2 linked regions of the Arabidopsis thaliana genome follow. The protein of the gene in region 2 purifies or fractionates together with the protein of the main gene of each other region. This does not show direct contact. Each region holds a gene or a part of one and is shown on either strand. Other genes may lie near its edges.

Evidence for each region.
Region 1: the proteins of AT3G58110 (region 2) and THO7 fractionate together in Arabidopsis thaliana (co-fractionation; one large-scale study listed by BioGRID). This does not show direct contact.

The regions. Positions count from the first base shown.
Region 1 is NC_003076.8:5,521,102-5,526,888, reverse strand, and holds THO7 (Tho complex subunit 7/Mft1p), read left to right. Parts: upstream 1-2,877; 5' UTR 2,878-3,054; exon of another isoform or gene 3,055-3,382; 5' UTR 3,383-3,413; coding exon 3,414-4,010; intron 4,011-4,142; coding exon 4,143-4,247; 3' UTR 4,248-4,472; downstream 4,473-5,787. Other genes in the region: AT5G16810 (Protein kinase superfamily protein), read left to right, coding at 1-29; AT5G16800 (Acyl-CoA N-acyltransferases (NAT) superfamily protein), read left to right, coding at 594-739, 846-990, 1,633-1,732, 1,850-2,053, 2,154-2,380; DOT2 (SART-1 family), read left to right, coding at 5,323-5,787.
Region 2 is NC_003074.8:21,513,941-21,521,329, reverse strand, and holds AT3G58110 (uncharacterized protein), read right to left. Parts: upstream 4,696-7,389; 5' UTR 4,556-4,695; coding exon 2,201-4,555; 3' UTR 2,189-2,200; intron 1,779-2,188; 3' UTR 1,468-1,778; downstream 1-1,467. Other genes in the region: BZIP61 (Basic-leucine zipper (bZIP) transcription factor family protein), read left to right, coding at 1-41; PDCB5 (plasmodesmata callose-binding protein 5), read left to right, coding at 4,773-5,355, 5,520-5,547, 5,774-5,933.

The sequences.
Region 1 (5,787 bases), on a different chromosome or scaffold from region 2:
GTCATCGATTTTTGAATGGCGTAGTTTAAATGAGAAGAGACGAAGATTATGTATTTACGTAATTATCTACAACTATTAATCCTTGATCCATGTTCTGAACATATAATCATATATCGTGGGTTCCCAAAATATGATATTGAATCTGCTCATCCTGCACTAGCTATACTAAGATTGTTTTGTTGTCACTAAACTAAACAATAGAATGTCGTCAAAAGTAAAAGAATGATGAAGATGCGCACGTGCTTGTTAGTCGCAAGGCACGTGAGATGATCCGAAGAAGAATCAAAGATGCTTCGCTTGAAGCCATAACGATGTGTGGGGAAGACGGCAAAGCAATCAAGCAAATACTTTTCCTTCCTCTTCTTCTCCAAAAGTCGTTTGTTTTCACATTTCTTTCGATTCCCACTTGACTCTCCGAGAAACCTTTGCAGATCAACAAACCCATCTTCTGATTCTGGAAACCCTAACCCACCCGGTTCCGATTCAGACAAACGGGTCGGAGACCGATTTTGATCTCGAACTCGATTCTTTCTCAGATGAAAGTATCAAAAATTGAGAATTTGAGGTTGTTTGAGTCTTAATCATCTCGATCAATGTCGCGTTTTCCCCGTGGATTTGTGGAGAATTCATCAATGGAGGAACCCAAAATCGCTCGTCGTCCAACTATTTGCTTCAGACCAATAAACCCTTCTGATTTAGAACGTTTGGAGCAAATCCATCGTGACATATTCCCAATCAGGTAAATAAATACCTTTGTTTTGGAAAGAATTTATATGTGATCTGGTTTTGGGATTTGACTTTCCGTTTTTTGGAAGTGTCTTATCAAAGCATTTGATTTTGTTCAGGTATGAGTCTGAGTTTTTTCAGAATGTTGTCAACGGAGGTGATATTGTCTCTTGGGCTGCTGTTGATCGGAGTCGCCCTGATGGTCATTCTGAGGAACTTATTGGATTTGTTACTGCCAAAATCGTACTTGCCAAAGAAAGCGAAGTGAGTTGCTTTGTGTTTTGTTCAAGTGTCTTCCTTTTTCATCGTCTTGTTCAAGTGTAGATTTCAAATGTCCGAAATGGGTTTCTTTCCACTGGAGAAAATAAAGCTTCAATTTGTAACGTTTCAAGTTATTTTTGAAGCTTGTTTTGAATGGTTTTTGGGTTTTGTAAAGAAGATGCAATGTCTTGTAAAGTGAAAATTTTGAATGTTTGAAACATTTTCTTAAAAATTTCTTAAAAATATAAACTTTCTACAATTTCAACAGCTTTTTCTAAGCTTTTAAGTTTTGGTTGGAGCTTCTTCAGTAGTAAAACATTGTCTTCTCTTTGTTCTTCGCCTTTTGGGTTTTGGTTCTGAAATTTCGAAATAACTTTATACAGCAAGTAACAAGTAATTGTGAAGTGTAGATTTTGAATGTTGTTGAACCATTTCACAATGTCTAATGGTTTAAGCGTGAATTTTAAAGCCATGTACATTAGATGGGTTTCTTACGAAAGTTCTAGAAAATCAAAAAGAGCCAGCCACTTTATTAACATCTTGATTATGATCCAAACTTGTTTTGTACTTGTTCGTTTAATGTTAAGAGTCATCAATGGCTGTTTCTTGGGTAATATGTTGATAGATTTTCTATGTCTTGTACAGATATCAGATCTAATAAGATATGACTCGTCGAAGGGAGAGGGGACATTGGTGTACATCCTAACACTTGGAGTTGTAGAAACATACAGAAAACGTGGAATCGGTATTGATTCTGACCCCATGTAGTAAACCAATGATATGGATATTTTGTTGATGGCTTGATGCTTCTCTTCTATTGCTTGGTTTTGTTAATATTAAGTTCTGCAACTTTTTTGTGCAGCTAAGGCACTTATTAACGAGGTCGTCAAATACTCTTCTGGTATCCCTGTGTGCCGTGGTGTTTACCTTCACGTGATTGCACACAACAATCCCGCAATCCGGTTGTACAAAAGAATGTCTTTCAGATGTGTAAGGAGGTTACACGGATTCTACTTAATCAACGGCCAGCATTTCGATTCTTACTTGTTCGTCTACTTTATCAACGGTTCTCGCTCTCCTTGCTCACCCTTGTATGTACAAAACACAAGTATTTTTTGCATTCTAAATTCTGTTTGCTGTGATGTTTCTTTGCGGTTTCTTCATAGATGGGGTTATCGCTGAATCATGGCTGCATTGCAGAGATCTTGCGGTGTTGGTTCTGAATTATATGAGGAGCGGAATCAAATCTTTCGCATCAAAGCTGACGGTGAACCACGATGAGAAAGGCTCGAAATGGCTTAAAAGCAAAGACAACACGCGGTGTCTCTTGCCCACTCAGACTAAACGAAACCTTGCATCGGAAAGAGTATCATCCGGGTATGATTACGTATAGTGTCCGTCTCCCATTCATAGACTTTGTAAAATCATTCATTTTAATGTCTTCCATTAAGCTCTGGTTGTGATCCTATTGTGTGTGTTCGTGTAGAATAATAATGTGATAAAAATGTAAATATTGTGATGTGATAGTTGAAGACAACTCTTTGGGACGGAGGGTTCAATCCACTGTTAGTCTTATTGTCTTAAATTAGTTAGCTTGTTGAAAAAATTAGCTTTGTGCTTTATGGCGTGAAAACTAGCATAAGCTCATATAATTTACTTAAAATTACAAAAACAAACCCCAATACTTTTTTCGAGAAACCAGATCCTTCTTCAATTCTGATCATGAACAGCTTTTGGCTCTAATTGGGGCTAATTCACATGACATGGAATTAACTAGAGATGTTTAAACAGATTTAAAAAAAAAAAAACAAACCAGACCAATTTTCTGGGTTAGTAACAAATTTCAGTTCACCACTGTGAATGCTTAAATTGTAATTTAAAAAACAATAGGGATTAGGTATATAATAAATGAAAGTTAACGAGCAAACTGTGAAGAACGAGGGAAAGGGGAAGAAGGAACGGAAACATAGAATTAGGGTTCACAGTGCATCAGAGAATCATAATTTCTCTGTTTCGGATTTTTAATCGTACAAGAGGTGAATTGATATTGGGTTCGGTTCGGTTCAAGTAAGTTAAATATTCTCTTTTTCGCCGATTATTTATTGGGTCAATCTCACTATAATTTCGGTTCACTGAAAATTTGAGAAACAGAAGTTGTCCTATAACGATTTTGACGATGAGAAGAATAAATCGAATTCTATGAAACTTTTGCTTAATTACTAGTTCGAATGTTATGAATTCCCGTGAATGAGTATTCAAAAAGGACCTTAGTGTGTTCTCATTGTTTTGAGCAGTTTTTAGCTTACATAGATTTATTTGTTTGGTTTAAGATAATGCTTTGTCAGAATTATGCGAAGCCTAGCCTAGCTTATTATGAATTGTGTTTGTTCTGCAGATTTGAATAATATTAGACTCTAGTAGTTAAGATGTCAGTGAGAGCTAGGAGGATTGTTTCGGGTAGATCAGAGACTGTAGCAGCTAATTATGCTTTCGATCCGTTACATGATGACAAAATTATAAGAAATAGGCTTCTCACACGCACGACCACCACCAGAGGCGAACCTCCATTGAAGAAGCTTCAGAAGAAATTCACTTCTTTTGTTATTGAACTAGACAAAGAAGAAGATAACTACAGTGAGTGTGGTAGGCTCGCGAAAGCTTTCTTGCAAGAACTCTCTGCGTTTGAGATTCCGCTTCTTAAGAGCCAAGTAGTTGTCGCTGCAAATCTTAGGGAGAAAGAGAACTTTAACGAGCTTAAAGATGAGACGAATAGGCAGATAATGCAGGCACAAGCTGATATAGAAGATCTTAAGAAACAGCTTGAGGAGAGTAAGATAGAGAGACAACAGAAAGAGGAGTGTGAAGCCATTAGGAAACTTATCTCTGCGCAGCCACCGAGGTCAGAGACGCAGAAGGTTATACATGAATTGAAGAAGGAGATTGCAGAACTCGAGGCTGAGAATACAGCAAGTTGGAGACTTCTTGAACTAAGGAAGAAGCAGTTTGCATTGTTGTTGCATGTGGTATGTCGATTTTACGGGTTTCGTTGTGTTTTTATAGCTAAGATTCTAAACAAGATTTCGCCTTTCTCGTGTTTCTTTATGTTTACAGCTAAATCCTAACCTTTTTGGTTTTGTGAAAACTTTTATGTATAGGTGGATGAGTTGCAGGAGACAATGGAGGATGAACAGAAGAGTATGGTGGAAGAAATGCAGAGGAACATTACCGCTGATGGCGCTGAAGCCATGTCCATCGATTAGCTCCTAATCTTAGCAACTTTGTCTTCCTCTTGAATGCTAAAGAAACAAACCTTTCATTGATAAGAAGAATCTGTTTTATAAATTTCTGGTTTCTTCTGGTTGCCTCATAACCAAAATTGCTATGAAAATAAGGATATGTATGTTTCATTTTAACTCGCAGATTCAAAAAAAATAATGGCAGATCTTCTCGAGGTTTTGAGGACTATGTGAACCGGAAAGGTCAGGAGAAAGTGATTTATTTGACTAAACCAAGTTTGGTAATGATTCATCAGGAAAATAACCGGTCCAGAAAATTCAACCGACTAAGATTTATTCCCGTACCAAAGAATTTGCTTTTAAACCGGACTAATATATATACAGTACACGTATATCTTCTCTATTTTGCAAAATCGTTCTCCTCTCTTCGCCACCAGAGAGTCTCTCCGTCTCTTTCCACGGCGAGTTTGCGATCGTCCGCGGTTTGCTGTTTGTCGTCATCTCTCTCGTTTGAAGCATTCTTTTCTAAATTCTTCGCAGTTGCTAGGTCTTTATCTTCTAAACCTTACTATTCGTCGGTGTGCTTTCGCAATTTATCTCTAAACCCTCGGAAATTTCTCCTGCAATTCTGAGCTCTTTGTTCGTCGATCCGAATATTCAGTACTTTCCATTGAAGGTTTGATCTAGAGGTAATTCGAATCGGAATTTGATCAACCTTTGTTTTCTTTGATATTTCGTTTCAGATGTTTGCTTCTTCTTTTTTCCGATGAATTTCGAATCGCTTGACCTTGTTCCGTTTTCCGTTTATCCTCCAAAGTCTGAATATGTTTATAGCTAGCTAGATTCAGGATTTGATTTTACCTTATTTCCCCAATAATAATGAAATCCTTCTTAGGTTAGGGTTTTTGTGTTTTTGTGTTTTGTCACTAGTTTTGAAACCGAAAATTGTCATCAAGTGTGCAAGTACTTTGTCAGAGTAATGCCAATATAATAGTTTTGTTATTCTCATCTTGCTCGGCTGTAGTTTTGCTACCATTGTAATTGTTGTTACTGAGTAACTCCTTTTTCTGTGGTTAGGTCTTGACTAAAGTTCTTGAAAATGGAAGTGGAGAAGTCTAAATCAAGGCATGAAATCAGGGAAGAGAGGGCTGACTACGAGGGTTCGCCTGTTAGAGAACACAGAGATGGAAGGAGGAAAGAGAAGGATCATAGGAGCAAGGATAAAGAAAAGGACTATGATCGAGAAAAGATCAGGGATAAGGACCACCGCAGGGATAAGGAGAAAGAGAGAGACCGAAAAAGAAGTAGAGATGAGGACACTGAGAAGGAGATCTCTAGAGGTAGAGATAAAGAGAGGGAGAAAGATAAGAGTAGAGATCGGGTTAAAGAAAAGGACAAGGAAAAGGAAAGAAATAGACATAAAGATAGAGAAAATGAGAGGGATAACGAGAAGGAAAAAGACAAGGATAGGGCAAGAGTCAAGGAGAGAGCGAGTAAGAAAAGTCATGAAGATGATGACGAGACTCATAAAGCTGCAGAAAGATATGAACATTCTGACAACAGA
Region 2 (7,389 bases):
TCAAACCGTCCGTTGAGAAGGAACAGCTCCTCAATGTCTAAAGCTGTTCGTTCACTAAGATCTTTCTTTTCATGGCGAAAAGATTCTTGACTATAAAACCTCTTTGTGTCAAGAAATTAATTTATCAAAGAAGATGGCCTTTTTTATTTGATCTAATCACATTTTTTTAAGTTGTGATGAATTTGCTTTTGATGTATCTGTTTTTTTTTTTTTTTCTTATGGAGTGGGAGGGGGAAAGTGGGAATGATATGTAAAAAGAACTTAGCTGATTTGTTGTTTATTCAATTTTTTTGTTGGAGTGTCTATGCATTGTGTACTAATTGATATTTTTTCCGAATGATTTTTTTTTCCATCAAATTTAGGGTAATCGAATAGTTAAAGATTCCCTCTTTTCACATGGTTCAAATTTTGATGTGTGCCATCATCCATATAATAAACAAATATAACAATTTATATACTTGTTTAACTTCTAGTGACAAAAAGAACAGGATTTGTGAACCATGAAATGTTAACACATAGTTTCAAAATTTATATTTGAAGTGACTGAAAGCGATTTCTCATTCCTTAAAAACTCGTACGATTATTTCATTGTTAAGAAAAAATCAATTAATTATGATGATTTAATAATATTTTAACCTCAGGTTTTTTTCATTTTTTGTCCTTCGAAAAAATCAAGTGAAAATGTAAGGTATTACTAGCTAATGTAGCCACTTCCTTACGTAGGGCCTGGACATTTAGATGATGTCATATAGAATCTAGATGATATATCAATATATACATATATCAACGAATACAAACACATCACGAATGTCATACATTGTATAATTACAGACAAAGAAAACAAGATTAGTGAGTTTTATTTTCTTATGAATCAAACCTTTATGAGTAATTAGGGTCAAAGTGGGTCAAAATCTGAAAATGTGGGGTGAAAAAAGGGAAAGAAAAGGGAGAACGTGGAGACATCTGAAGGCTAAGCTGTAAGTTCACGTGCTATGTTCTTTGGCCTGGACCACTACGGTCTCGTTGCTACATGATTGGCTTTGTTTCCTCTTCTTTTCTTTTTTTATTTTTCTTAACAATTTGTAAATAATGTTTAATCAAATACAATTTATCTTTTACTTTGGTTTCAAAGTTGAATGAGACAGTCAAAGTTAATATGGAGGATAGAGTAAAGTTACAGAGGAAAGCTACAAAGTAGGAAGTTTAAAATTTTGAAGAGGATTATAAAAAGAAAATTTGAAGAGGAGAAAGTTTTTTAAAGACAAGAGGTTAGTGGTCTTGTGTTGGACTTGTTGGGATATGTATGAAAGCGAGATGTTGTCAGTTCCAGTGTTTTTAACTTATGTCAGTGCCAATACCAATTCACTCCTCTCATTGGGCCTTATATACAATTTTATACTCTGGAATATACTAATAGTCTAATACTATAAAGTCCAATTAAATAACCTTTTCCTTCAATTTTCTTCTCATTATTTATTTCTTATATTTTTCTTCCAAAAATGGTACACTCAACTACTACTTGTTGTCACAATCGTCAAAAGTCTAAGATTAAATCAGTTTTTGAAGCTGTTCATCAGAGTATGTTGAAGAATCTCAAAAGATGATTGAATGTTTTGTGCTAGTTGAGACTTGGCATTGATCACAACCGTTGGTTACATTTCCTAGAAAGAGATAAAAAGAAGATATTGGATTCGATCATCATTGTCTATCATACAAAATGAAGATGCTAAATTGATGCTTTTTCAAATGAGCTTCAAAAGCTTCACGGATTTGCAAACCTACAGGGACAGACAAATTTGAGAAAAATCAGTTATATGTAGCAGTTAAACAAAAACAAAACAAAACTAATATAAACCATAGTGGCGAAAGAAGAAGATTACTAAGTGTTGGTGGATATAATAATGACAGAATATTTTGAGATATCTAGAATCTTATGCATATATACTTGAAACATTCCGAGTCATTACAAAATTCTACTCATCTACTAAAATCGGTTTTCTTTATTGTGTGTCTCACACTCTCACTACTCATATGATATACTCGGACATCACCATAATATTATTTTGAACATGGAAACAGTAGATTCAAGATTCCTCTATAATGGATGCAGGAAGCGACTAAAACGTTCAGTCACCAATTCAACGAAACAGGGACTCATGTTTTTCTTAAAGGATAGTATAGTACGTACCTTGAGAGCATCTCATGTTTCTTCTGTAGCAGTTTCTTCCATAGCAGCAGCAACTTCAGATGTCTCAATATTCTTGCTTTCCGAAAGTGTTTCTCTCAAGATCTTCACTTCATCCTCATTCTCGATCAATCTCTCGTTCAGCAATTCTACTGCCTCCATGTGTTCTTCAAATTTATTAAGCCAGTTATGTTCAAAATCGTCAATCTGTCTTTTAGCTAGAACTCGTTGCATCCTGTCTTCCTCTTCTTGCTTCAATCTCAGCTTTTCAATTTCAGTAGTGCTCAGGACTAAACCTCCAGAACCTTTGACATCCATGTAAACTTGTTTATCATCACGTAAAGGGCAACGTTTTCTGTGCTCTCTTGACGCCTTTTGTGTTATTTTCAAAGCCTTCCTATAACCCTCAACTACACTTGTCATCATACGAAGCTCACTCTCAAGCTTATAGATCATTATATCTTTTCTCTGTTGCTCCTCAAACTTGGTTCTTTCCAATTCCTGAATCATTGCTGTCTTGCTTTGTAGCTCGTTCATCAGGTACTGCTGGTTTATAACAGATTGTTCACGCTCTCGATCTTTTTCAGCAAATGACAATCTAGCTTTTTCCGCCCAGTACGCCATCTGATCCAAACACATGTCAACTGGGGGTGGTTTTTCATCCCAAGAGGGTTCTTCGGTCCTCAACCTCTTATTAATGGGGTTATGAGAATGATAAGTAATACCATTCTCGTGTTCAATCTCCCTCTTGTTATTGCCATTCCCGAACAGAGAAGAACTACCTGAACCCATAGCCATATGCATCTCACCCCTAGAAGCAAGGAAATCACCACCAATTGAATTGCCATGAATTTGTAACCCAGAGTTGTAACCTAACGGAGATGCATCTCCCAACATGAGATTCCCTTGGCCAACTCCCTGGAGGGAATCACCATTTGGAAAAAAAGGAAACCCCCCTTCATGCTTTTCTGTATCTTCCTCAGTTTCCTCTTCCTCGACATCTTCAATTGGTTCATCTTCTCCCATTTCCATGGATCCTTCTATATGATTATCTTCGTCTCCCTCCCTGGCACTACTATGATTGCAACGGCGAAGGAAATGAGAACCAGCATGAGAGTCTCCATTCCATGCCCACCTTTCATCCTCTTCTTTCTTATTTTCCTCAACATCCATTGGCTGTCCCTCAACAGGACCTCGCTCTTCCCCAGAGACCATTTCTGACACTGTCTCTTGCCCGAGATTCAGTTCGAGCATATGTTCTTCCACATACTTGTCTTCTTTCAAGTCGACAGCACCATCATCCTTTCTTGAATCTGCAGCACCAACATCTTCTTCCTTAACCTCCAAACAATCTTCTTTTGGTGATTTTACCAAAAAATCAACCTCCTTTACATCGTCATCATCATCATCATCATCCTCCTCATCATCAGCCTTACATTTCTCCTTTAGCAAATCTTCTTTCTGTGATTTGATCAACAGCTGCAGATGAGAAGCAAAAAAACAATCACCAAGCGGAGGCTCCGCTTTCAGTTCTTTCTCAACCATGAACCAGAGCAATTTGGGCCAGTCTAACTTTTCCAAATGCTTTTGCTTTATATCCCTTGTCCATTCAACAATCTCTACAGGCATAATCCACATATCATCTCTTTGCAGTAGAACACAAGTTGAAACAATCTCATCAATAAACCTAACCGATTCATCGTTTTCCAGAAGTTCTCTCTCCTCCTCTGTAACAACAAAGTCTTTCTTCATAGGCAACTTCAACGCTCGAGCCAAATCGGGACGGCTGACGTTAATCCTAGCCCCATTTACATAGCTGCATCGACGCTCTGAATTATAATACGCAACAAGGTTCGCTACTAGATCCTCACGGATATTTTGATCAAAATCCAAATGCACAAAATCCCACAGACCTAACGTCTTCAATAGCTTCTCATGCCGAGCAAAATCTAGGGTTTTACATGGAGCGAAAGCTATCGGCTTCAAAGTTTTCAAAAGTACCTCAAGTTTCTCTTTTGACTTCTCTAGCTGCTTTCGTTTCTTCTGATTCCCTTTCTTCCGCTTTGGTCCACCTCCACGGCGGTAATAAGAAGAGCTTACGGCTTGCGTCGTGTCCATATCGTCCTCTTCGTTCCTACTTTCCTCAAGCGAAGCTTCTAATTGCTGATCTCTACCGTCGGACTCCTCCAGATCCTGCAAGTTCTGCGTTTCTTCGTCTTGTGTTGATTCTAAATTTAAGGCTTTTTCAGCGACATTCTCCACGGAAAGACTTCCTTGCTCTACTACGCTCGGCTTCTCGATTAAACTAGGGTTCTGCGAAAGAGTTTCTGCATCTCGATCGGTGGGATCTGACGGCGGAGAAGAAGCCATGGCTGATCTTCTCCTCGGAAAAGCTAAACTGAAGAAAATTAGACGGTCGCGAGACAAAAAGCCTTTCTGAAAGGAAATTAACCAATCACGAAGAGCCACGTCAATAATCCGAGCACTTATTTTTCATTGGCCAGTGCCCCAAGGCCCAAACACTCATTTACCATTATTTCATGGGCCAACATAGAGGCCCAATTTAGCGCTAAAATCCAAGAATTACATGATACACCCGAATCTTTCTCTTTTTCACGAAACATTCCAAAATATTCTCGAGTCTATTCAGATTCACTCTCTTGTCACTGTTAGATCTTCCAGTTTCTCCGATACCTTTAACGGTAACTTTCTGGTGCTCCACTGCAAAATCAGCGGTTATAAAAAAAAAACTCAAAACCTTCTTCTCAACACTCCTTTGCTTGATCTTCTCCCTCTCTCGTTACTCTCTTCGGAAATGATAATGTCTCTCCCTCAGTGTTCTCATCTGCGTCTCTCTATTCTCGCTGCGACGGCGGCGATGTTAATGGTGATTACGACTGCGCAGATCGGCGGTCAAGTGATACAGGTGGAGTTATGGTGTGTGGCGAAGAACAACGCGGAAGATTCGTCGCTACAGACGGCGATTGAGTGGGCTTGTGGTCAAGGCGGAGCCGATTGTGGTCCGATTCAGCAAGGTGGACCTTGTAACGACCCGACGGATGTTCAGAAAATGGCGTCGTTTGTTTTCAACAATTATTATCTGAAGAACGGCGAGGAGGACGAAGCTTGCAATTTCAACAATAACGCTGCTCTTACTTCACTCAATCCAAGTAAAAAGCCTTCTTCTAAGAATCGATATCTTATATCTGCTAGTGTAGTGTAGTGAAATCAGGATTATCATGATGATCTCTTTTGAAATAGAAATTCAAGTCTTAGATTCAGATACATATGTGCATCTTGTTGAAGTAATTTTCCCCCCAATGTGTGTTTTCAGGTCAGGGAACTTGCAAATATCCTTCGAGGTAATCAATTTCAAACTATCTTTGTGATTTGAATTATTCAATTTCAGTTTCCTCAATAAGAGCTAATCCTATTTTGGTAATAATGGATTTGGTTCTTAGATTGTTCAATACATGAATGTATGTCTTTGTTTATACTTGTGTGATTCTCTGTGTAGCTTTGTTCACTGATGATTCAAATCTATATACCTTATTTCAACAATACTCTTTAAAATCTTATGATGTGCAGTAAGGGAGCCAACAATGGTCGATTAGCGGATGACACTTCAATGGGTGCAGGACAAGCAGATATGAGCCGTGGTGGCAGACCGATTTCCAGCAGTTGGATGGTGACCTTCATCGGTTTCGGTAGCTTATTGACGATGACATGGATAATTCATCATCTTTAGGCTCACACGCATGATGCTCTCATTGATGATATGAGAGACGGATACTATTTTGATCTCTCTTAGTTTACCTTTGAAGATAAGCGTAATATCTAATTCTTTTTTTGTCTGGCATTTTGATCTTTCTTTCTGTGAATGAACTTATAAGGATGTAATATCATCAACCATAATTGTTTAATCGATTCAATGATTGGTCTTTTATCGTTAGAGATTTCATATATAGGTTCAATTGGTTTTCTTTCACGATTGCATGATTTGATCTTTCCTACTCACCGAATTGGTTAATAGCTCCTCGATTGCCACTAGTCCACTATCCCGACTCACCATCTTTGCTTGAGCTGATAGGCTTTCCCAAAGCCATACTGTCTCAACACCATCAGGTAGCTGTCCTGATGCTACCTTTTGAGGCTGTGATAAGATAACACTGCAGTTTCCTTTCGAAACCAAAACGCGAATAGCCCTCAATAACCCTGTATATGTCTTGAGATGTCTCCGACGATCAGCATCAAATTAAGTGGTGTACTTCCACCTCTAAAAATTGTTTGGCCTAGTAAGTCTACTAAAATCCTGTCACGTGTATTTTCTTTAGCACCGGAAATATACCCAAGTAAGGATTAGTAAAAGAGAAGAAGAGATAGAGATAGAACCTACCGTGGAATCGACTTGAGGGATCAGGGTCGGCTCAACAAAACGTGGGACCCTGTGCTCATTAATTTGTTTTCTAATATATGTTCTATATGTTTAGATTTTAGTTTGATTATACACTATTGTTTGTATAATGGACCTTGATTGCTTAAAGAAAATGAATGAAAAAATAAAGGACCCTGTGCACTAGCACCAACGGCACACCCTCTAAGCCGGGCCTGCGAGGGATCAATCATGTTTTTAACGGATTCAAGACAAGAGAGATGCGGAAGAAGGCAGACAAGACTAGCGGAGGAAAGGGTTGTTCAATGAAACCAAAACTACAGTATGTGTATTTGTCTTTTTAAATTTTAAAAGTCCAAAAATCAGACAAAATAAAATAAGGGCTGGTTGGCAAAAAGATTTAGTCAATCCCGAATAGAGAGTTATTCGCGTTTCCAAACAAACTCTCTGGCTTTACACTCGACGGACTACGAATAACGACGGTTTGCCAAATCTCTTCCATCTCATCCGCCGAGCGATATTGGTGAGTTTTTTCTCCTCTTTCGTACTTTGATTATTTTGATGTGGACGTTTGGGAATTAGGGTTCCTTCTGCTACTCAAATGCTGACAATTTTACCATTCTCGTATAAGATTTAGGATCGTATTTTGGGGATTCTTGTCGCATAAATCGTTCAATTTTGGATCCGAGTATCGTATCTGCTCACAATTTGTTTATGAAATCTATACAACTATGAAAGATGCACTTGGTTTTTGAGATTCTGTGATTGAGCTAATGCTTCATTACCTTTTGTTGAAATCTTTACTTATGTG